Linked DNA regions of Danio rerio. The protein of the gene in region 4 interacts with the protein of the main gene of each other region in a pairwise test. Links are inferred from orthologs where the notes say so. Each region holds a gene or a part of one and is shown on either strand. Other genes may lie near its edges. The genes, in order: obi1, csrnp1b, ssna1 and tceanc.

Region 1 (5,529 bases), on a different chromosome or scaffold from region 4:
TTAGGGGGGTCAATTCCTCCAAAAATCCCCCTGTAATTTGCACACTGGGCAACACATGTCTTAAAGACTAATTAAAGTAAATCAAATGTGTGGAGATAAGGATATAAACTTTGCATATTTTCTTCACTGGTTTTGGAGGGAAATCTCTTATTTGGCTTGGGGGTGAACAAGAAAGAACAAGCAAGTCAATGAAAATGGTTGTGATATGATGTTTTGTTACTACAAATAAAATGAAATCTTGTTTTGGTGCACTTTTTCCCATATTCCAATCTTGTCTTTTAAGTGGTTTGAACACAGTCAACCACATAAGTGACAAAATATGAAAGTAATCCAGTCAAATGCATTTATGACTACCTCTGGAAGTGGTTAAATGCTTGTAACGTTTCACACTATGCTTACACTGGTTTTTAACATTGGATGTAGGTCAGGGGTGTCCAAACTCAGTCCTGGAGGGCCGGTGTCCAGCATAGTTTAGCTCCCAACTTGCTTCAACACACTTGGCAGGAAGTTTCTAGTATATCTAGTAGGAGCTTGATTAGTTCAGGTGTGTTTGATTAGGGTTGGAGCTAAACTCTTCAGGACACCGGCCCTCCAGGACCTAGTTTGGACACCCCTGATGTAGGTGAATTGTAAATGAAGGCTACCCTACACTAGAAACGTCAACAAAGAAAACAAACGATAAGTTTATTGGGTGTTTGAGCAAAAGAACCTCATATTCTCGTAAAAGCAGCTCCCCTCGAGTCTTTCGGAGGCGTCTCTTTACAGAATTGCTCTCATTGGAGTCAGTATCGGTTGTGGCTCCTGTGAGCATACAGACAGACACACACACTGTCAAACATGAAGAAACATACAGTTGAAGGCAAAATGATTAGCCCTCCTGTGAATTTTTGTATTCTTTTTCCAAATATTTCCCAAGTGATGTGTAACAGAGCAGAGGGGAAAAGTGTCTACGTTAAACAGCACTTGGGAAATATTATAAAATAATTTAAATTTCAAAGGAAGACTAAATATTTTTACTTCAATTATATTTAATCACATTCAAAAAGAGCTTCATATTTCAATAACAGCAAGGTTTGACCAGGAAGTGTGTTGACTTTACCAATGATTTCTCTGCAGGGGTTTTCTGGGGTGATGGCCACTCTACAGGTGGGACACTGACTGCTCTTCTCCAGCCAGACTTTAATACAGCTGGAGCAGAACACATGGTTGTTGCAACAAATGACCGGCTGACGCACCTGCGAATCAGAGCCAAAAAAAACCAACAACAGGTAAATTAAGCATCATGATTCATGCTTGTTGATATTCATGACAACTAACAATGATCATTATCTACATTACTCATCATTGTTAACAAAGATGACAAATAACTCATGCATGTGGGTCAAAAATTCTACCTAAAAATGATGATTCACATACACAGAAGCATATTAAATCTAAAAGCTAATTACTTATAAAATGCTTCAAATAATATAAAATGTCAAAATATGGATGAATTAATAATCATTATTGTCGTTCAGGGTGACGTGGATTTATGTACAAATTAAACTACATATTTATTTTGACAGGTACTTGATAAAATATATTTAAAAATTAGCAATCTAAATAATAGCATTGTATATGAAATTAATATAAACGTGAATAAAAGCTAGTAAAAATATTCTAAATACAATTTTACAGGGTACGATATAATATTGTAATAAAGTAACAATAAATATTTATGATGCAATACTTCTAGATTACTAGGATTCAGAAAGACAGACAGACAGACAGACAGACAGATATGTGGATAGACGGACGAACGGATATGTTGGTGGATGGATGGATGGATGGATGGATGGATGGATGGATGGATGGATGGATAAATAGACAGACGGACGGACAGACAGACAGATATGTGGGTGGATGGATGGATGGATAGATGGATGGATGGATATAGATAGATAGATAGATAGATAGATAGATAGATAGATAGATAGATAGATAGATAGATAGATAGATAGATATGTGGGTGGGTGGATGGATGATGGATAGATAAATAGACAGACAGACGGACCGACGGACGGACAGACAGACAGATATATATGTGGGTGGATGGATGGATGAACGGATGGATGGATGAACGGACGGACGGATGGACGGACAGACAGACAGATGATAAAAAAAAAAAAATACCCTCAGCAAGTCCATTTTCCCATCCTGCCTCAGTAAATTCTTTGCCCTGCCCATTAACAAACTTAAACCAATCAGATGAGGTGTTGCATGTCAAACATGCATATGTTAGCAAACGCTTTTAACAGTTAGCATTAACTGCATTTTGAGCAATACATCTCAACGCAGCAGAGAAGTAAAAGTGTTTAGGTAAATACCGGGCTGGTGCTTTTGAATGTTTTGTTGTTTAATTTAGTTCTATTTAAGTGTACTGGTATAATAGCGCTTTTCACAATAATTATCGTACCAAAGCATCATTACATTACACTCTAAATCAGCAAAGCTAGGTTAAGTTGTGTATAGGGTGGACTGTAATAAACACAGTTAACCAGATGAAGGTAAAGTTATATTCGCGCATTCGGTCATTTAACAGTTCGTATATTGTTTACCATGCTACATTGAATATTCGGTCTTAAGCATGAAAGTATGGATTCAAAACAACATTAGCACTATTTATTTAACTGTAAACAATGCTGTACTTTGATAGTCATTGGCTGCTAATAAGATTTCCCTATTTAGAATTAGCTTTTGTGAAACTATATTATTAAGGATGAATGTGTGAATATAAAACCAACTTAACTTCAATGTTAACCTGCAGGAATTTGTTTGTTCAAACCAAATGTAAGTTAACTTACTGTTAGAAATTATCGCTGTTTCTAGACGTTGTATCTTTAATAGGCGTTATTTTATCACAGTGTCTTACGTAATAGTTTTATGTTAAAGATATATTAATAAATAATGGACATAACGAGACATAATTTAAGATGCAACAATGACATGATGTTGACGAGCACACTGTACGAGTTTAACTTCTGTCGGTAACTTAAACTAAGTGTATTAAAAGTTTGTTACCTTTCCGAGACAAATCTGACAGGATATGGGTAAAGTCAACGAAAGAGTGACGTTTTGAAAACTTTGCGCCATGATTAGTCCTTAAATGCACAACATGATCCAAAACTCCCTCCAACAGAGACAAAAAGAGGCGAGGAACCCACGCGACTACGGCAAGCGCAGAGCTCTACTGTAAAACGCGTCTGTCGTAAATCTCAATGTGGCGCTTTTATGTAAAGGAAATCAAGTGCTAGTTTTATTGTACATTTGTTTTGCTCCCAAGCAGGAAACTCTTGTTTTTTTTTTTTGTTTTTTTTTTTAGAAAATATTAGCCACAAACTATTCAGTTCAATCTTGAAAAAATATTGTTTGTATCTCATATACTGCTAATAAAATAGGTAAGCAATCTTTCAGTAAGCATTATTATTATTAGTAGAAGTAGTATTTATTAATACATGGGTTAATTTTAATAACTTCATCAACATTGTATTGTATCTTATATACTGCTAATATGTACGCATTCTTTTAGTGAGCATTATTATTATTATTATTATTATTATTATTATCATCATCTAAGCTAATACCAATAGTTTAATTAATAGTAGGAGTAGTAATAAATTATAATATTTCATTTTTGTATAATAAAATATGCATGCATTCTCTCAGTAAACATCATTATTAGTAGTAGCATTTAACAGTAAATGATAAAGATTACTTTTAATAATAATAAATATGTTATAAAATAATATTTATTATAGTAAGACCCTATAACAGCAATTAAAAGCCAGATGAAATTTTATGTATTTTTTGATTATTATTTCTATAATTGTAAACTATTTATTTTAATTTTTTATTGTTTTATTTATTTATTATGTTTAATTATTTATTATTATTTATCTTATAAAAATAATTATTTATTTCTTAGTATTATTATTATTATTATTATTATTATTTATATATAATTGTACAATATTAATTTGATTGTTTATTTATTTTTAATGTTTTTAATTATTTTTTAATTATTTTATTTAATTTATTTTATTTTTAATTATTATATATAATTTAAAATATTTATTTATTTATTTATCTATTTATTTATTCATTATTTTTATTATTATTATTATTATATAATTGTAAAATACTTATTTTTATTTATTTTTTATTGTTTTATTTGTTTATTATTTTTAATTATTTTTATTATATAAAATGAAAATATTTATTTATTGTTATATATATATATATATATATATATATATATATAATTGTAAATTATTTATTTTTTATTATTTTGTTATTTTTATTGTTTTATTTATTTGTTATTTTTGATTATTTATTATTATATATCATAAAAAAATATTGATGTTTTTTATTTATTCACTTATTTACTACACCAAACATTTTTAATGCATTTATAATAGTGTTTGCCTCCTTTTCTCCCAAAGCGTTTGGTCTCTTAAAGTCAGCCCTTTGTTTCGAGAGTTTTATTGCGACAGTATAAACCATTATGAGTATTATTTCATTTTGATTCAATCTCATAATTCATTGGTCATTGCCAAATGATGTCTTTATTATCCCATAGTGACAGAGCCGGTGGCCGAGTGCTTGTGATATAACTTCATTAGCATCGAACTGATGCAAAACAATGTTGTACATCGATTGCATCAAGCGGCCTATTGGTGCTGCGACTACATTACTGTCATTTGTTGCAGCTCTTTCATGTCAACACAGCCCACAGAGACCAGACTTTTAGACCACTGTACGCCAGCAGGCCTGAAACGCAGAATAAGACATCGTTCCTAGAGAGAGACCAAACTGCTGAGCACACTCTTACATAATAACACAAATTTGCCTGGTTTTCTGATTTTCTACAGACTCCCTCGCTCCTTTCGTCTCCTGTCAGTGAGATCAGCATCTCAAAAATAACAGCAGAAATCGCTTGCTACTCATTTCATTGCTCACGAGTGGAACAAGAGCTGTGTCAACAAGAGACGTCCATTTCATCAGCAGGTCTCCAGTGAAATGATTCATCCAGAGCATCACGAGTCTACACACAAAAACACATTTTCAAGAGGAGAAGGTCATCCTTGATGCTGTTAAAAAGAAAGGTACAGCTATGAATTGCACTGATTGTAGTGTTGTTGTTTCAAGGTTCGGGGGTGGGATTATTTAAATGTTTAAGTTATTTAAAGCATTATTTAAAATATTTATGCTCACCACAAATATACATTTGAAGTCAGATTTATTAGCCCTCCTGAATTTTATAGTCCTTCTGTATATTTTTTCCCCAATTTCTGTATAACGGAAAGACTTTTTTTTTTTTCAACACATTTCTAAACATAGTAGGTTTAATAACTTCTTTCTTTCTTTCTTTTTTTAAGATTTATTTTTGGCTTCTTTTTTTTTTTTTGGATATGACAATATTGGGACCGGTAGCAAAGTTGGAGAGAGAGAGAGGGGTAGGGAAATGTCTTCGAGCCAGGATTCGAACTC
Region 2 (5,718 bases), on a different chromosome or scaffold from region 4:
CAAACAAAATGCAACGCCCCCACGATGTTTGAGGTACAACATCAATCTGACACCATGTTGACGTCCTGTGCCTGCTTGGTGTGTTTGTCTTCTTTTTGGTCAAAAATTTAACATGGCAGATCTTAAAAGTTTTTTTTTTGTTATAAGATGTTAGAAGCCAGACTTTTGGGAGTGCTCATCCCTTCAACTTTTTCCACTTTGCAATGAGTTCTTTTTATCTTGTGAAATCATTTATCAACATTATGACATGTATTTGCGTTGGAAGCACACTGAGTCTCTTTTTCCCTCTTTAACAAATTTCTCAGCTGCTCAAGACCACGGCGACACAGCAAGAGTCTTTACCCCTAGTGGTTTTGTTGGCGTGAGTTGAATAAAGGAGTAATAAAGTAGACCTGCATTCATTTGAATAGCATCTAAAACCATACAGGCGGCAGCCAAGCTAATCAGGAAAAAATTCCAGACCCATAAACACACACTTATGATTTTACACGTGCAGTAATAAGTAAACCATTACTGATGAATCACATCGACGATTATAGTTACACACTCCTTAGTAACATGAACTCCATAAACAACAACATTGTCTGTAAATGTGCTCAAAAGCTGTAATTTGAGCACTGCTTAGCTTAACGGTGTGATTTGTGTATTGAAACAACACCAGACCTGTGACTCTCAGCAAGCCACCAGACTTGTGTATTTAGTTTTGGGATGGAGAAGATAATTCTCTTTACAGGACCCAGAGGGCTGAAGCTCTCTAAGAAGAGGAGTGCGATTGCGTGTTCAATCTGTACTTCTGGCGACTCCACCTAAACACTTAAGACACTTTGTGTTTTACACCTGTGTTGACACTGGCAGCACTCCCTTTTTCAATAGAAATCGAAAGTTTACTCCACCCGAACGTGTCTACGATGTGCACGATTCTGATAAACACTGCATTAGTGTAATTCTGCATTACAGAGGCGTGCACAGTTAATGATGACACAGCTGACAGGACGAGAGATGCTGTAGATATAGGAGGACACGGCATGTTCAGTCATACCTGAAATCACTGGGATGCATCGTGAACTTGCCATCAACCCCAGTCCAACCTAGAGAAGGAATGCAAATGTAATGTAATCTAATGGCTTATTCAGTATGTCTGAGAGTTGTTTTCATGTCGGCTCAGAATGCCGCTGCAACTGTATGACCAATAAATTAGGCAATGGTTTTACAAGTTTTGCTGCTGAATGATGCAGAAGGATTGCGGGATTTACTGATAAATGATGCAGGGTTTATGACTCACTACTTCAGTGAGGTTGACTCAGGAAATCTGATTGTATAAACATCTATCAAACTGCATAGATTTATTCATTTAAACAGTTTTTGTTATAATTGACATCACAATAAATGTATATAAAATGTAAAATTTATGTAAAACATGTAAAGAGTGTAAAACAAAAATGTAAACAACTATAAATACCATTAATACAAATTACTGTATTAATGTACAACACATTACTTTACATATATAACATCATTACATTTTACAGTCCTATATAATTTTAAAATACTTTTTAAATATAGTTCACATATAACATTTTGTAATATTTTGAGTTATTTGTCCATATATAATTATTTATTATAATTATTTATTATCATTATTTAGTAATAATATTAATTTTGATTATGTGATTGACACTTTTATATTGATTATATACATTTTAACATAAACGTCGCAGAAAAAAAAAATATATACACATACATATATATATATATATATATATATATATATATATATATATATATATATTTTTTTTTTTGATTATGTGATTGACACTTTTATATTGATTATATACATTTTAACATAAACGTCGCAGAAAAAAAAAATATATATATGTGTATATATATATATATATATATATATATATATATATATATATATATATATATATATATATATATATATATATATATATATATATATATAGAAAGCTACTTTAAAGCAAAATAGATTCTGGTTATCTTAAAATGTTTTAAGAAAGCACAATTGATCATGATTTCAGTGTGTATACTCCAATATTTTGCCAGCCACTGTGGTTACCATAGTAAATGTTTTGAAGGCAATGAAAGATTTACAGTTTCCCATAACTCGCGCTGTTGTTCCGGTCTCTCTCTCGTTCTCTGTGTGCGCCAGGAGGAGTGTCGCCCCGCGCGGAAGGCAGGAAGCGGCGCGTGGGCTCAGTGTCACCGCCTGCGTCACACGCCAGGAGGGAGTTTTCCACTGACGAAAAGACTGCGCTGCTCCGCGTCTGCTTCAGACAAGAGGAACAGCTTCAGCTGCCGCTCCAGTCCGCCGAGCGCACAATAGCCGCACGAACACAACGGGATCTCTTTACGGATAAACGCGCGATCGCATCTCTTGGATTATTACAGCTTCATCTTTTCCTAGATAGTGATTTACTAATGCTGATCGGACACGTTATTGGTGAGTAGCGGAGCTCCGCGCTGTTTAACGCCGCACTTGTAATGTGTCTAATAGGCAAACCTCGGATCTGGAGTCCAGCCAGATAGTTTCAATGTTCTTTTGTCGGCCAGTGTAAAGAGATAAAATGTGTTGTGTAACTATTTCAAGTAGCAAATCCAGAGGACATTGTTGTATACTGTCGTGGCAGAAAAAAAAACTAACTAAAGTTATTAAGCCATTGTCTTGCGTTTTAATTGTGTTATAATAAACTCTGGTAAGCTTAATTAATTTAATTTCTGGTGCTTTAATGTAAACCGTTTTAAGTGTGTAGATCGGTCTAAATATTCGCGGGTTTTATGCTTTTTTCTGTCAGTAATTTTGATTGGCAGTGTTTGCTGGGTTTTAATAAAAGATAGCCTTATTCTCATAAGCAGCTGTTGGCGGTTCTGATCGGATCCATTGGCAGAATTCCAGGATAGTGGACCGTATGTGTGTGTATCCGATAAGCCGTAATTGCTAGTTTGAATGTGTGTGAGTGTTGAGTGCATTCCTCGTTCACGTTTATAGCGCTGGTGTAGCCTATCTTCTGAAGCGCGAGCGACTCCTTAAGGTGCCACACCGCATCAGTTCAGTAGTCTGCATGCAGATCTGCGCTCAGCCTCATATGCACTTCCAGTCCTCGATGACGTCACCGAGGGTGCATACAAGGCTGAATGCAGGTCTGGGGGAGACCTTACTTGATCCGATCCAAACTTCAGCTGGTCGAACCGGTATTTGATCAATAGCCTATAAATGGCTTTTACAGTGCTATTTTATTTGGCTACATTTAAAGGCGCACATAACCAATTGCCTATAATTCATTCACAAAGAAAAGTGTTTTTTATTTATTTATTTAAAAGCAAGCAAAACAGTCTCCCCAGGTCATTTGATAATTGGTTTGATTGACAGTCAATCACGAGGCAACAATCACCAACACGTTGTGCTCTGCGTGATTGGGATAACTGAAGTAAATTAATATTCTCATTCCACTCGGTTTGTTACAATCTCACGGCATTCCTTTTGTCAGGTAATTTTCAATTCCTGACTGTGAGCACATTGAATGTTTGATGGTGGGATTCATTGAGCTTGTTATGTAAATTTTAGTTCAATAATTTCAGTATTTTTTGAAGGCACGAGCGCAGAAGGGTGTGTTATGATGATGATGCTTGTATATTTGTGGCTGTGTCGTAAGTTTGAGTGTGTTTATTTTGCGCGTGCTTCTGTGTGAACGAGCGCGCAGTCGCTGTCACGCGCGACCTCACTCGGATTGTTTGTGGGAACACAAGTCGGATTTTTTCTGGTGTTTTTGTTGACATACCTCACACATTTAGGGGATTTATATTCTTAAAACGAGCTTAGTAAGTCCATTAGCGTTTTATTTCATTTAAAATGCTTTTGCACTACCCTGTGGTAAACTGTTTACAAGTGAGACTTTTTATTCCCATAACCTGCGATGTTGTTTTGAATTCAAGTGCACGTTAAACTAATCAAACAGGACCATAAAAGATTGTATTGTTTACTTACTTCTGGGTTGATGAGGTGTGAACTTGCACGTGTTCCAGAGTCAGTGAAATCACTCAGCTGGTTAAAGTAGCATGTCTGGATAGTTTCCTCCCTCTTCCTATTTAAATCCAGTCATGCTTTGAAAAAATTGAGATGATGCCGTCATAATTGGTGTACATCACAACATGTCATTTTTATTAATCTCCCACCCACAGGCAGGGTGTTTTTATTTGGATAGATATGTGTGTGGCTTTTGTGCAATAGTATTGGGGGGGGTGTTGAAGTCCTGATGTCTCTAAAACCGAGAAGCAGAGGGAACCCATCTGTTTTGTCACTCTCCAACATTCCTCCCAGCTTGTGAGGTACCAGCAAGTGCCCCAGACGTAAGCTGATGACCCCTGGGCTCCCCCCATCCTATAGACGCACACATATACTCTCCCTTGTGAGTCCCGAGAGACTGGTAAAGATGGCTAGTATTTGTTTTTGTCACCATTAAGTTAGTCAGAACAAACTCATACAGATGACTTCTCAAGGAACCTACACTTTGCGGACTGTGTTGGAAGTTTGCATTTCGGATATTGATGCAAATTGCTGCATGTGGAAGTATTTTCTTTCAGTTTTGGCAATTTCCTGAGCAGTCAGAGTTTCTATTCGTTGACATAAACCAGGAGCAGTGATTCTCTCGAAACTGTTAAATAACTTTAGGAGGGTGTTTTGAGATGTTTTTCTTATGGCTCTTAGCATAATTTAGATGACCTTTAGATGGTGATCTTCATAATAATTAATAATCGGTTCATCGTCATGTGAGGGACCCCCATCCTAAAAAGTAAACAACAGTATATGGTCAAACAGATCTGATTCATTTTGTTATTTTATAAAATGTTACATTTCCACCTCTCTGAATTCCAGTGTGAAATATTGTCTAAGTTAGAATTGGTACCCTTTTTGCTTAAATAACTTTTTAATTCAAATTGAAAACATGTCTATGGAAATGCGAAGTTTGATGATGTATTGAATCCATAGTGTAGCATGTGAGAGAAATCTTCATCTCCACCCTAATAACATCATCTCGTCAATATGACAATAACGTCATCATCTCTAATGATTCGCGACTCCATCAGGTGTTTGTGTCGGTGTTTCTGTCTGAGGTGGATCCTCTTGGGCAATAGTGGTCTGGACAATGCAGACACATCTGGGATAGATAGACTATTACAGAACGTGCCGCTATGCCAGAGTAGAATTCCTGTGGGCTGGAGACATCGCATTATTTATTTGTTTAAAGTTCTCGCCCGCTACCCTCCTCCCACATCAGTGCGCTCTCCTATTTGGGATGAATGTGTGCTCTGCATGGGTTGAGGCTCAGGAACAGAATGTCTCTGGCGTAGTTTAACATCTAGAGTGATGATCGGCACAACCACACATCTCCCTCCTCTCGCCTGACTGCAGTTTTTAAAGGCTGACCAGCAGAGGGAGGGTTTCTTATATTCTGCTGGAATTTGAATTCCAATACAATTATTGCAAGTGATTTTTTTTTTTTTTTTCACTAAATATTATTTATACTTGCGCTTTTTAGATAGTTAAGATGAGGTACACCCTGCACATTACTTAATCATCTGGATGGGTGCTGTGAGCTGGAGGGGCAAAGTCAACCCTTGCATAATGTTAGGTCAGGATTCCACTGTTTGAAGGTAGTTTAGACAATCGGCTCAGTGGTGCAAGTTGTTTTTATGCTT
Region 3 (5,704 bases), on a different chromosome or scaffold from region 4:
ACTACAAATGAGCAAATCAATGAAAATATCAACCTTGCCATGAAAAAAATCCAAATTACGGAAAATTCATATTATGGTTTCTGGGTTTTTTGGGTAAGCGAGTATTTTACAGTACTTTAGAAATACTCAAAAATGAATCCGTCAATTTTTTCACTTCAGATCATTTTGGAAGGGCACTTTCTATCCTAGACTAAAAAGGGCATGTACACTGCACAGGCTGAGCCCTATGTGTGCACGTTCCTGATCCAGAACACTAAACAGCACGATTTGATTTGTATCTTTGTTCTGTTGTATTCATTTATGCTTTCGATTTGTTTATTGTACATTGTAATAAACACACTCCCTACACAAATATCACAATATTTTAGATTCTTTCCTAATAGTTTTTAATTTAAATCATCTTATGAAGTGACATTAAAATCGTAATATATTTCATAGAACACATGATATTGCAAAATCAGTTCTTGCAAAATCGTGCAGCCCTGTAAAAAGATTATTTTTGATTTCCAATTAGATGCTTTAAGAAGCTTTCTCTTTCAGCATTCTAGCGCCTTTCACCTTATCGTTAGCATTACACGATTTAAATTATGTTTAACACTCACCAGAGAAGATGTCACTGTGTCCCAGGCTACTGACAGTCCCTGCGGCACAGACTGCATCTCGTTCATTAGAGCGCAGATAGTAAACAGCAGTTAGGCTATGCTCGTTGCACTTATCCGTCCATATCCCGTTACTCCGTAATAAACATGTCTAAAATATACAATAAAATATTTCATGCACTGAGAAAATGTAGCGCTCTTCTTCAAACTGCCGTCGCTCGTCGATGACGACATTGATGTTACTTTACCGGATGTTGATAATCGTAAGAAGAAGACGAAAAAAAGATAATCGTTCATTGATCCAGTTGTCTGATACCAAATAAGCTTATAAAACCTTATCTGTTTGCAAATTTTTTTCCCAATGTTTAATGAGTAACTTTTGCTTTTTTAGTTGTTTTTAGTTGTATTTTTCTTCACTGTTAAAGATAATTATTTAGCCTATTTGTTGTTGTATGTATAGTCTTATATTGTATACACTGCTTAGGGGCTTAAAATTATTTTTAAAATAATAAAAATAATAATTATAAGAAATGGCAACGTATAAATACTACTACTACTACTACTACTACTACTAATACTACTACTACTAATAATAATAATAATAATAATAATAATAATAATAATAATAATAACATTTTTTTCTTTTTTCATTATGTTTTAATAAAATTAACAATAAAATATAAAATAAAATAGTAAATAGTACACAGGCAAATTATCCAATTAAATAATATTTACAAAGTAAATAAAAACTTTGTAAATAAAGACAAAAAAATTCACAGTTTTAACACTTTTTGCTGTAAACTTTTTGTAAAGAATAATAATAATAAAATGATGATGATGATGATGATGATGATGATGATGATGATGATGATGATGCAAGTTCTTTGCGACTCTCTCATGAATGATTGTTTGCTTAATTATATTTAAAATGATTAACTCAGTACCTATTACACATTTATTATTATGATTCATGCGTTCGTTGTTTTTTATCTATCCTCTATAAATTAAAACTCAGAAGGCCTGTTAGGTGTAGTTTAATTTACTGGAAAGGCATGGGATGTGTTCAGTGTACTTTATTGTCATTGCATTTTCATATTCTGACTGCCTTTTTATTTGTTAAATGATTCATCTTTTTTACAGCTTTGTGCAAATTTATAAAATAAAAGTCTAACGGAAACCGTCATGACGACGCTTCTTTGACGTTTCCGTGGAAACAGGAGGGAGACTTGACTTGATTCACTCGCTTCTGGAATGTTTTCTTTAAACTTACTCCCCTCGCTGATCTGCATCATTTAATACCCGGTAAAGTGTACGGCTTGTTGTTTCAAGGAAAAGCCTGCATCAGAAGGTACAGCAAACTAACTGACTTCACTGTATGAAACGTCTTGAGCGATTAAACTAGTTAAGAGGCCTTTTTGTGTTGTTAGCTAGCTAGCCTGGTGATCAGAATGACCCAACAAGGAGCTGCGCTGCAAACCTACAACAACGAGCTTGTCAAGTGTAAGTAGCCATATATTTCATTTTGCCGACAGGGGAACATTCGTTTCCTGTTTATTTTAAATTTCTTGTTACTTTCATCTGGTTGTATGTGGATGTTTGCTGCTAGTCTCACTCAAATTAGCTTATAAATAATCAGAAAACTAGTTTTAAAAAATCGAATTCATGTTCAACCAATGTTTAACCTGTGCCTTTGTTCATTTACATTATTAACCTCACTGCTTTTAGCAAAGAAGGCATTTACTTATTTATAAGAAAGATCAAATTGATGTCTTTTCAAGTCTGGGGTGAAACACCGATAATCCTTTTAATGAGATTGAGTGGATTCAGAAAGTATTCAATCACGTGTATCAGGTAATGTCAGGGTTCATACGGTCATGGAAAACCTGGAAAAGACATGGCATTTTGACATGGCATTTTCTAGGCCTGGAAAAGTTTTGGGAAAACAGAAAAACCACTATGTTTTGGAAAAGTAATGGAAAACATATGTTTATACTTGAATATAGGTTATTTTACGTTACTTCTTTTCTGTCCCTGGTCAGTCACATACTCTCACATTATTGGTGAGAGAATTATCAATTTTACATGGATATAAATATAAAATGAAACTAGATGGATTGTTGCATGTTTTATGATATGTAATAAATTTAAACATGCATTGTTTGTCTTTTACCACACATATGTAGACATTGCATCTTGAAAAAATCATGGAAAAGTTATAGAATTTTAGTAGTAAAAATGTGTATGAACCCTGTAAAGTCTTTGCATTAGGTTAAATGTTGAACTCCCAGTTAGTGTTTCTCACTTTCACATATGTGTTGTTCATCACTTAAACTATGATCTTAACACACCGACATTTGACAATAAGGTAAAATAACATCATTTGTCTTCATTTTGATAAACATAATATATGTTAATTAAACATTGTTCTAACATTCAGGTCACATTTTAAAAATACTGTAAAACTCTCAATTCAATTCATGTATATTTCTCTAGTGCTTTTCAATGAAGAGTGTTTCAAAGCAGCTTAACATAGACGTTATAGTAAATTGATACCATGTCAGTCCCGTTTTCAGAGTTGAAGTTCAGTTCAGTTCAGTGTGGTTTAATTTTCACTGCTGGAAGTCCAAAAACTAAAGAGCGGGTGTTCAGGCTGCCCCACAGGATCAATGCAGGGACTCGTCTGTCAATGTGGTCTTTCAGGAATCATTCTCATGCTCTTCGCTCCTTCATGACTGCCACAGCATCCACTCAGAATACGGCCTGGTTGAGGATATGGATACCTCTAAAAGTCCTCTATGGTTGGCTTAATTTCTTCACAGGTCTTGGATCATTGGCGCTGCGTAATCTTTAGAGGCCTCAGGATGAGTTTCCCCAGGTGGAAATAGAGAATAATAAATCCTGCCTTAAAGGAAAGATAAAGAAATGCAAAATTCCACCTTCGGAACTTAAGCCACTAATAAAAGGCTATATTCTAAACAAAGGGCAAACAGAATGGGATCAGTGCTCGGAAAATAAACTTTGAAATTCAGCCAGAAATAGGAAGAAAATCCAATTTATTTTTTATCTCAAGACACGGTAAGATTGTTTATAGAAGATGCCGCATCTGCCGAGACTCACACATGAACATTTACTTAAAGGAGAAGAACCAGTAAAATGTCAATATTGCCAAAGAAACCAAACTGTTAAACATTCTTGTGGAATGCCCTATTTAATGTTATCAGACAATAGTTTTTATTTGGAAAGGCTTTAAATAAAATAGTTTTAAATGGGAATCCTTCTAAAATTGTAAATTTTATATCAAAAGTAATCCTTAAAAACTTTTTTAGATTTTTATCTTGTATATTATCATTATTTATTTATTTATTTATTTAACCTTGTTCATTATTAATTGCTGTTAGTGACTTTTAATTGTTAGAATATTTTTATAACTATAGAAAAGTGAAACTTATAATATGTGGTAAACTTGATTTTTTATTATTTTTTTATTTTTTATTTTATTTGCCATGACATAACCAAAGAAGCTGAAATGGCAATAAACTCAAAATTCTCTCTCTCCTATACAGTAGCCTCAGCCCTTAGTCTTTTTTGCATCAGTCAGCAGGAGGAAGTGCTGAGCAAGCCTTCGTATGTCATTTATATGCACTCCCTTTCCACTATCACAACATGAATGTAAAGCAACATAAGGAAAACATGGATATGGGCTAAAACTGCTCAGCAATTTCAAATGATGGCCTCTTTCCTTCTCTTTGTTTTTTTTTTCAGGTATAGAGGAGCTTTGCTCTAAAAGAGAAGATCTGAACCGGCTGATCCAGCAAGAGGAAGCAGAGAAAGCTCGTCTGCAACATGACATCCGTGTGCTAACAGAGAAGCTAAGTCGTGTAAACGAGAGCCTGGCCCACCGCCTCAGTGCTCGTGCTGAGTTTGACCGCACCATTGCAGAGACGGAAGCTGCGTACATGAAGGTGTGGAAACAATAACAAATTAGACATTATCTTCATAGAAAAAAAACAAGTCGCTTTATTAAAATTGCATCAGCGAGAACTTTATCGAGCGAGAGAATTGAATTTTATTTTTCAGAAATTATGTGATACGAATTTGCTAAACCCAGTGCCAGCCTAGTATCTCAAACAAATTCATGAATTAAACTTGTACAACCTTTCTAAAATTAATGAATAATTAAGGAATTATTGTTTAAAACATAGGTGTCAGTGCTGTTGCCTCACAGCAAGAAGGTCACTGGTTCGAGCCTCGGCTGGGTCAGTTGGTATTTCTGTGTGGAGTTTGCATGCTCTCCCTGCGATAGCACGGGTTGCCTTCGGGTGATGCGGTTTTCCCCACAAGTTCAAAGACGTGATATTGGTGAATTGGGTTTGCTAAAATTGACTGTAGTGTATGTGTGTGAATGAGTGTGTATGGATGTTTCCCAGTGACAGGTTGCAGCTGGTTGGGCATCCGCTGCATGAAACATAAACTGGATAAGTTGGCAGTTCATTCTGTTGTGGCGACCCTTGATTAGTAAAGGGACTAAGCCAAAAAGAAAATGAATTAATGAATGAACACCGGTGACAAACTCGGTTACTAGAGAGCCGCGCTCTGCACAGTTTAGTTCCAACCCTAATTAAACACACTTGAACAAACTAATTTAGTCCTTCAGACTTGTTTGCAACCTACAGGTAAAGCTATGGTCACACTAGAGTTTGAGCTTGTGAAATTCTATTGTACGAAGCTGCGAAAAGGCGAGGGATTAAATAAGATAATTAGACATTTAAAAAAAAGTGAGGGATTGGTCCATTTTAAAAATTTCTGTCCAGAGAGATTATGTTTTTATCCTCGATTGGTCTCTTTTTTTTTCTTCTTCTTTTTTTTTTTGTGTTAACAAGAACTAGCATGTAGTTTTCTTATACAACTAAATCACTTTACATTTCTCAACAAGAATAGAATAAATGAGAAAAAAGAAATTAAAGATAAAGAAAAAAAACAGTGGAGAGGGTGCAAAATTATGAAATTACATACAAATATATTACGCACATTTTTCCAATTTTATATATTAACAAGAGATATTGCACTTTTACTACAGGAAATGCATCTATACAAACAATGTTATA
Region 4 (5,080 bases):
TCAAAAGCATTATGTACTAAGCACAGGTATAAGCTTAGTGAAATGTTTGATTACATATTAATAATCTGTTATTGACTGGTTAAACTGAATGTTTAGAAAAAAAAATATATATATATATATATACCAGCAAAACTTTGAGTGCACAAGCATCACTGTTTGTCAATTAAATGACAACCATAATTGAATTCAACTATACAATCATGTCAATCATATTTATAGGTTACATTTCAATACTGGGGACTTAAATGTATGCCAGTTTTGTAATTTGGATATAACAATTAATCATTTGTTTTTCCAATGTAATCTGGTACAAACATTTTGGTATGATAATTAGTTTGGATACAACATAAAATTTCATCTTCATCCTTTTTAGACTCATCTTCTCATGCAAAATTCTTAAGTTTGATTTAATAGTAAGGATAAAAAGTTATTTTGAAAATGAATATTTGTATCCATTTCTCAGTGAATTTCTCAGGCAATGTATTTTGGTGCATTTAAACAAAACAGATTTATTAAACAGATGCTTTAAAGGATTAAGTCATAAAACATATTTAGAAAGTAAAAGATAATACATTTAAATTCAAGCCAAATATTGCAAAATAATAATAATAATAATAATAATAATAATAATAAATTAAATAAAAAAATTCAACCTACAAAATTTCAACAAAAACTTTCAATTTCTTGATATCTCATTTTTAAAATTTGTTTTTAATATTTTTCTATATCATATCAATTTGGGTGTACTAGTTTTTGGAACGTTATCGTAAGTTATTTTGTTAGATAAGCTAAAGATTTGGCTTCAGTGCTGACTAATCTAATGTATATGCACAAATATGATATTTTATAGCTTCATATTAAAAATGTGAATTTAAAAGATAAATTTGTGAGGGGTGTATGCTGAGCACTTTATATTAAATAACTTGTTGACATTATTACAATTCTATATTCATAAAATTTAATTTTTGGTGGTATTTAAAGATGAATATGTGATAGCATATTGGTTTTAGAATTTGAGTACTTCATCTCCCCTGCTACTTTTTCAATTATTTATTTTGTTTGTTAACTTTTGTTATTTATTTATTTATTCATTCATTCATTTATTTATTTATTTATGGTGTATTGTTATTATTAATGTGAATGAAAAGATTGTGAATGAAAAGATTGTGAATGCAAATTGATTGTCATCTCAGTCTTTTTGTGTAAATTAAAAAAAAAAAAAGTATTAAAGCTTTTCTGTTATTGTTTAAGCATTGTTAATTAAAAAGAAAAAGAAAAAAGTATCTAGCAAGACAGGACATTCTTATTGAAATATTCCAGACTCTGTACAGAATATATCACTTGGGAGTTAAAGTATAAAGTATGAAATAGTGTGCGAGTTGGCAAAGAAAGCACTAAAGTATACTCTCTAAAATGTTAATGTCCCATTGGGCAAATCTGAAATGTAGGGTTTAATTAAAGTCAGTAAAAAAAAGATGGCGACAGACATGGACTCAGGAAGAAAGGGGAAGACAATTGTATCAAATAATGAGGTAAGTTGGGTATGACAGGTTTGTGACAAAAGAAGGGATGACAATCTCATGCCTCCGAATTGGGCTCACTGCATTAAACCAATCACTGTTTGAAATTGGCAAACACGATACAGGTATGTGGAGTATATGTGGAAATCCAAAATTAGTTGAGCGTGTTATTTTAATTGTCATAGTTATAATGAGGAAAGATCTCAGCTTATGGAGGAAATGAAGAATGCAGGAAGTTTAAATCTAACACTAAAGAAGTAATAAATTGAATAACTAAATAAATAAACGGGCAACTCGGTGGCGCAGCGGGTAGCACAGTCGCCTCCTTGCAAGAAGGTCACTGGTTTGAGTCCCAGTTCGAGTCCGTTGGCATTTCTGTGTGGAGTTTTCATGTATTTCCTGTGTTGGCGTGGGTTTCCTCCGAGTGCTTCAGTTTTGTCCCACAGAAAAAGACATGCACTTGGTGTATAAGCTATGAGGTGTATAGGTGCTGTATTAGCTGTGTAAAACATATATTGGATAAGTTGGCAGTTCATTCTGCTGTGTCAAGCCCAGATGAATAATAGGACTAAGCTGAAGGAAAATTAGTGAATGAATTAATAAATTTAATAACTAAAGATGTTAATTTAATAAAAACTAAAGTATACCTAAAGTATCTTAAAAGACATTGTTACTTAGACAAGTTTAATTTATGTATTTGATTAAATAGCTTACCATTTTCTTTTCCCCCCATTTCTTTGCTTTGGTCTATTTCTGTATTCCTTTCTATATCAACCCCTCACCCTCCTCCCCACTAGGTGGCGGAAATTCAGTAAAGCTGCCAAAGTTTGCAAGAAGAAGAAGAAGAACAACAACAACAACTGCATTGCGTTGATGAAATACATGGCTGTAGAAGTAGCGACTTTGTAAAAAATGTTTTACTGCTTAGTTAATAAAGAAGATACGTGTTTGTCTGCAATTCAGATAACGTTAGCGGACATATTTTTATTACGCTTGAAAACTAAGCTAACGCTTCGGATTCTTCAAGAACAGTATTTTCCAGGTGTAACGCTACTCCTTAATTTTCCTTAATTTCGAAGACGTCATGCATACTAGAGAGATCATATATTATGCTACACAAATCGAAAGGTTGCACGAGGACGGCAGTTATGAAGATGTTATATCATTACTGACTGAACTCGACATCACTTCTGTCACGTTAGAGCAGATTCAGACAACAGATATTGTAAAAGTTCTTTACAGACTGCTTAAGTCCTGTCCTGTTTTGAGTGCTAAAACAAAAGCAAAAAGCTTGCTGACAAAATGGAAGAAGTTGTACAATTTGTCACATGCAATATTACTCAAAAATAATGACAAAAACACACGGGAGGACAAGGAATTAGAGACGCCAAACAGAGAGTCAGAGACGCATAACATGTCTAATGTTGAGTTACCATTGGGATTTCCATTTTTAACCAATGGATTTCAGCCCTTACATGAAAAAGTGAACGAGAGTCAAGCATGTAACACAAAGCAGCTTGATATAACAAAGGATGCAAACCAGGGAAAATGTAATAATGTATGCTTTAATGCATCTTCTAAAAAACTTTGTATAGCAACTGAATCTGCAGAATCTCTCCAGCCACAGCTTGAGCAAGAGAGCCTCACTCCAGCCGTGGAATCAAATAGATCTGATGCAGAGGAAGGTGCTCAAACCTCAGTTCCTCAAAACACAAATCAGCACACAACTAACTGTGACTCTACAGCACTGAGATCCAAATGTGTCCATCTGATTCTTCAGGCTCTTGGCACAAACCAACAAACAGACCCAGGTCATATGAACAAGCTCAAAGCCCTTGCTGAGAACATTGAGTTGCATGTTCATGCTCTTCATGGACGAAACCAGCATAAGTTCAAGTTTCATATTAGGAGCAAGGTTGCCAACCTAAAGAACCCAAACAACCCCCACCTACGCCAAGGCCTTATTTCAGGACAACTGACTCCAGATGCATTTGCCCAGATGTCTGTAGAGGAAATGGCAGGTGAGAAACTTCGACAGCTCAGAGAAACTTACACTAATTTGGCCATCAGTGAGCATCAGTTGCCAGAAACAGTTGAAGGCACCCCTACCAATAAAGTTCGCTGCAGGCAATGTGACAGTATGGATTGCAGGGTGACTCAAATCTCACGAGGGACTCTTTTCTTGCCATCCTGGGTGCAGAGTGGCAGTGCAGATAATGATTCTATGACTTTTATGACCTGTGCTAATTGTGGAGAACAGTGGTACCACAGTAATTGGGTTTGCCTTTGAGCAAGTGCGTAAAGATAGCAACATTGTTCTGTATTATTTGATCTGTACTATTGAAGTTTTTGTTCACAATGATGTTAAGATTGTCAATTATGTAGTCTTCAATTTGGTGCAGTGAACCGTATAATGCGCATTCATGTCTGTTTTGGAAGAGATGAATACACCAAGAATAATAAATATAATCTCTAAAAACTGGTTTTAGATGCATGTAACCATTAAAAAGGTAATTAATGTCTGTTTTAATCTAAGTATCAGTATGGCTAGACACACTTTTTTATGTTGACTTTAGATGTTTTATTTGTCCTCCAAAAACTTATGTAAAGTATATATTTAGATTATTTTCCATAAGTCACTGTTAAGTCTGTAAATATGGAAACGAATAACTATTGAACTGCTGTAAACATACATTTATAATTTATTATTATAATACGTATTTACTGGTTTTTAAACTTTTTTTCTTAAACTCTTCTCACATCAAATTGTTTTGTACATTACACGTCATCTATTTGTTGCAGTTTTTTTTTTTTTTTTTTTTACTAAAACAAGCTTCCCACACTTTTAGAAGGTACTTAAAAACAAACAGGTCCTTAAGGTTTGTGAATTAAATTTTAAATGAAATTCGATTATGCTGTTATTTCCACAATTGTAAAAACAATTGTAAAAAAGAGGTAAATTCTTAATTAGTATCGAATTCGACAAATTTTATTAAAGTTTTTGAACATGGCTATTTAAAATAAAATTCTTCATTCAAAAAACTCATCATTATGCACACAGTATTATTGTTAATTTTAAGTGTAAGTGAACTGTTGAGTACAGTAAGAAGTTTCATGGTGGTGGCAGTTTTAAAAGTCGTTGAAAGTCCTTGAATCTGCTGTTAATGAAAGAGTGGGAACCCCTGTATAACTGTGATGTTCTGTAATGACAGTAATCACATTCATAAACATGAACATGCTACATTCGGATAACACAAAGGAAACAGCTCAAATTTGATCTTGTGTCTAAGCTTAGCAAATGTGACGGAAAGTGTGCCACATCCAGAAAGCATGTGTAGTTGCTTTATGATTGCTTGGAATAATAATAATAAAACATCTTAAGTGCTTAGTTGTCTTACTAATCAGTTGTTACATCGAGTTGATTTCTTGCATATGTTTGTAATGAAATGACATGACTGTATGTGTTTTATAGAGAGGTCATGCTGCTAATCTGTAATGTCTGTAATGAATTACAGATGTAACCTCATCAAATAGAATAAATGCAATTCAGCTGAATTCAG

Evidence for each region.
Region 1: the proteins of tceanc (region 4) and obi1 interact in binary tests that used the Homo sapiens proteins (3 or more experiments, as listed by UniProt). The two-hybrid records come from large-scale screens. The link is inferred for Danio rerio from reciprocal best matches to the Homo sapiens genes TCEANC and OBI1.
Region 2: the proteins of tceanc (region 4) and csrnp1b interact in binary tests that used the Homo sapiens proteins (3 or more experiments, as listed by UniProt). The two-hybrid records come from large-scale screens. The link is inferred for Danio rerio from reciprocal best matches to the Homo sapiens genes TCEANC and CSRNP1.
Region 3: the proteins of tceanc (region 4) and ssna1 interact in binary tests that used the Homo sapiens proteins (3 or more experiments, as listed by UniProt). The two-hybrid records come from large-scale screens. The link is inferred for Danio rerio from reciprocal best matches to the Homo sapiens genes TCEANC and SSNA1.

Annotation. Positions count from the first base shown.
Region 1 is NC_133181.1:5,241,971-5,247,499, reverse strand, and holds the start of obi1 (ORC ubiquitin ligase 1), read right to left. Parts: upstream 3,202-5,529; 5' UTR 3,133-3,201; coding exon 3,061-3,132; intron 1,269-3,060; exon of another isoform or gene 1,236-1,268; coding exon 1,100-1,235; intron 802-1,099; coding exon 710-801; intron 1-709. UniProt on the Homo sapiens protein: E3 ubiquitin ligase essential for DNA replication origin activation during S phase.
Region 2 is NC_133199.1:23,587,239-23,592,956, reverse strand, and holds the start of csrnp1b (cysteine/serine-rich nuclear protein 1b), read left to right. Parts: upstream 1-2,295; 5' UTR 2,296-2,464; intron 2,465-3,133; exon of another isoform or gene 3,134-3,213; intron 3,214-3,442; exon of another isoform or gene 3,443-3,509; intron 3,510-5,718. UniProt on the Homo sapiens protein: Binds to the consensus sequence 5'-AGAGTG-3' and has transcriptional activator activity. May have a tumor-suppressor function. May play a role in apoptosis.
Region 3 is NC_133180.1:59,865,338-59,871,041, reverse strand, and holds the start of ssna1 (microtubule nucleation factor SSNA1), read left to right. Parts: upstream 1-1,808; 5' UTR 1,809-2,047; coding exon 2,048-2,099; intron 2,100-4,361; coding exon 4,362-4,561; intron 4,562-5,704. UniProt on the Homo sapiens protein: Microtubule-binding protein which stabilizes dynamic microtubules by slowing growth and shrinkage at both plus and minus ends and serves as a sensor of microtubule damage, protecting microtubules from the microtubule-severing enzyme SPAST.
Region 4 is NC_133176.1:39,099,044-39,104,123, forward strand, and holds tceanc (transcription elongation factor A N-terminal and central domain-containing protein), read left to right. Parts: upstream 1-2,359; 5' UTR 2,360-2,604; coding exon 2,605-3,810; 3' UTR 3,811-3,984; downstream 3,985-5,080.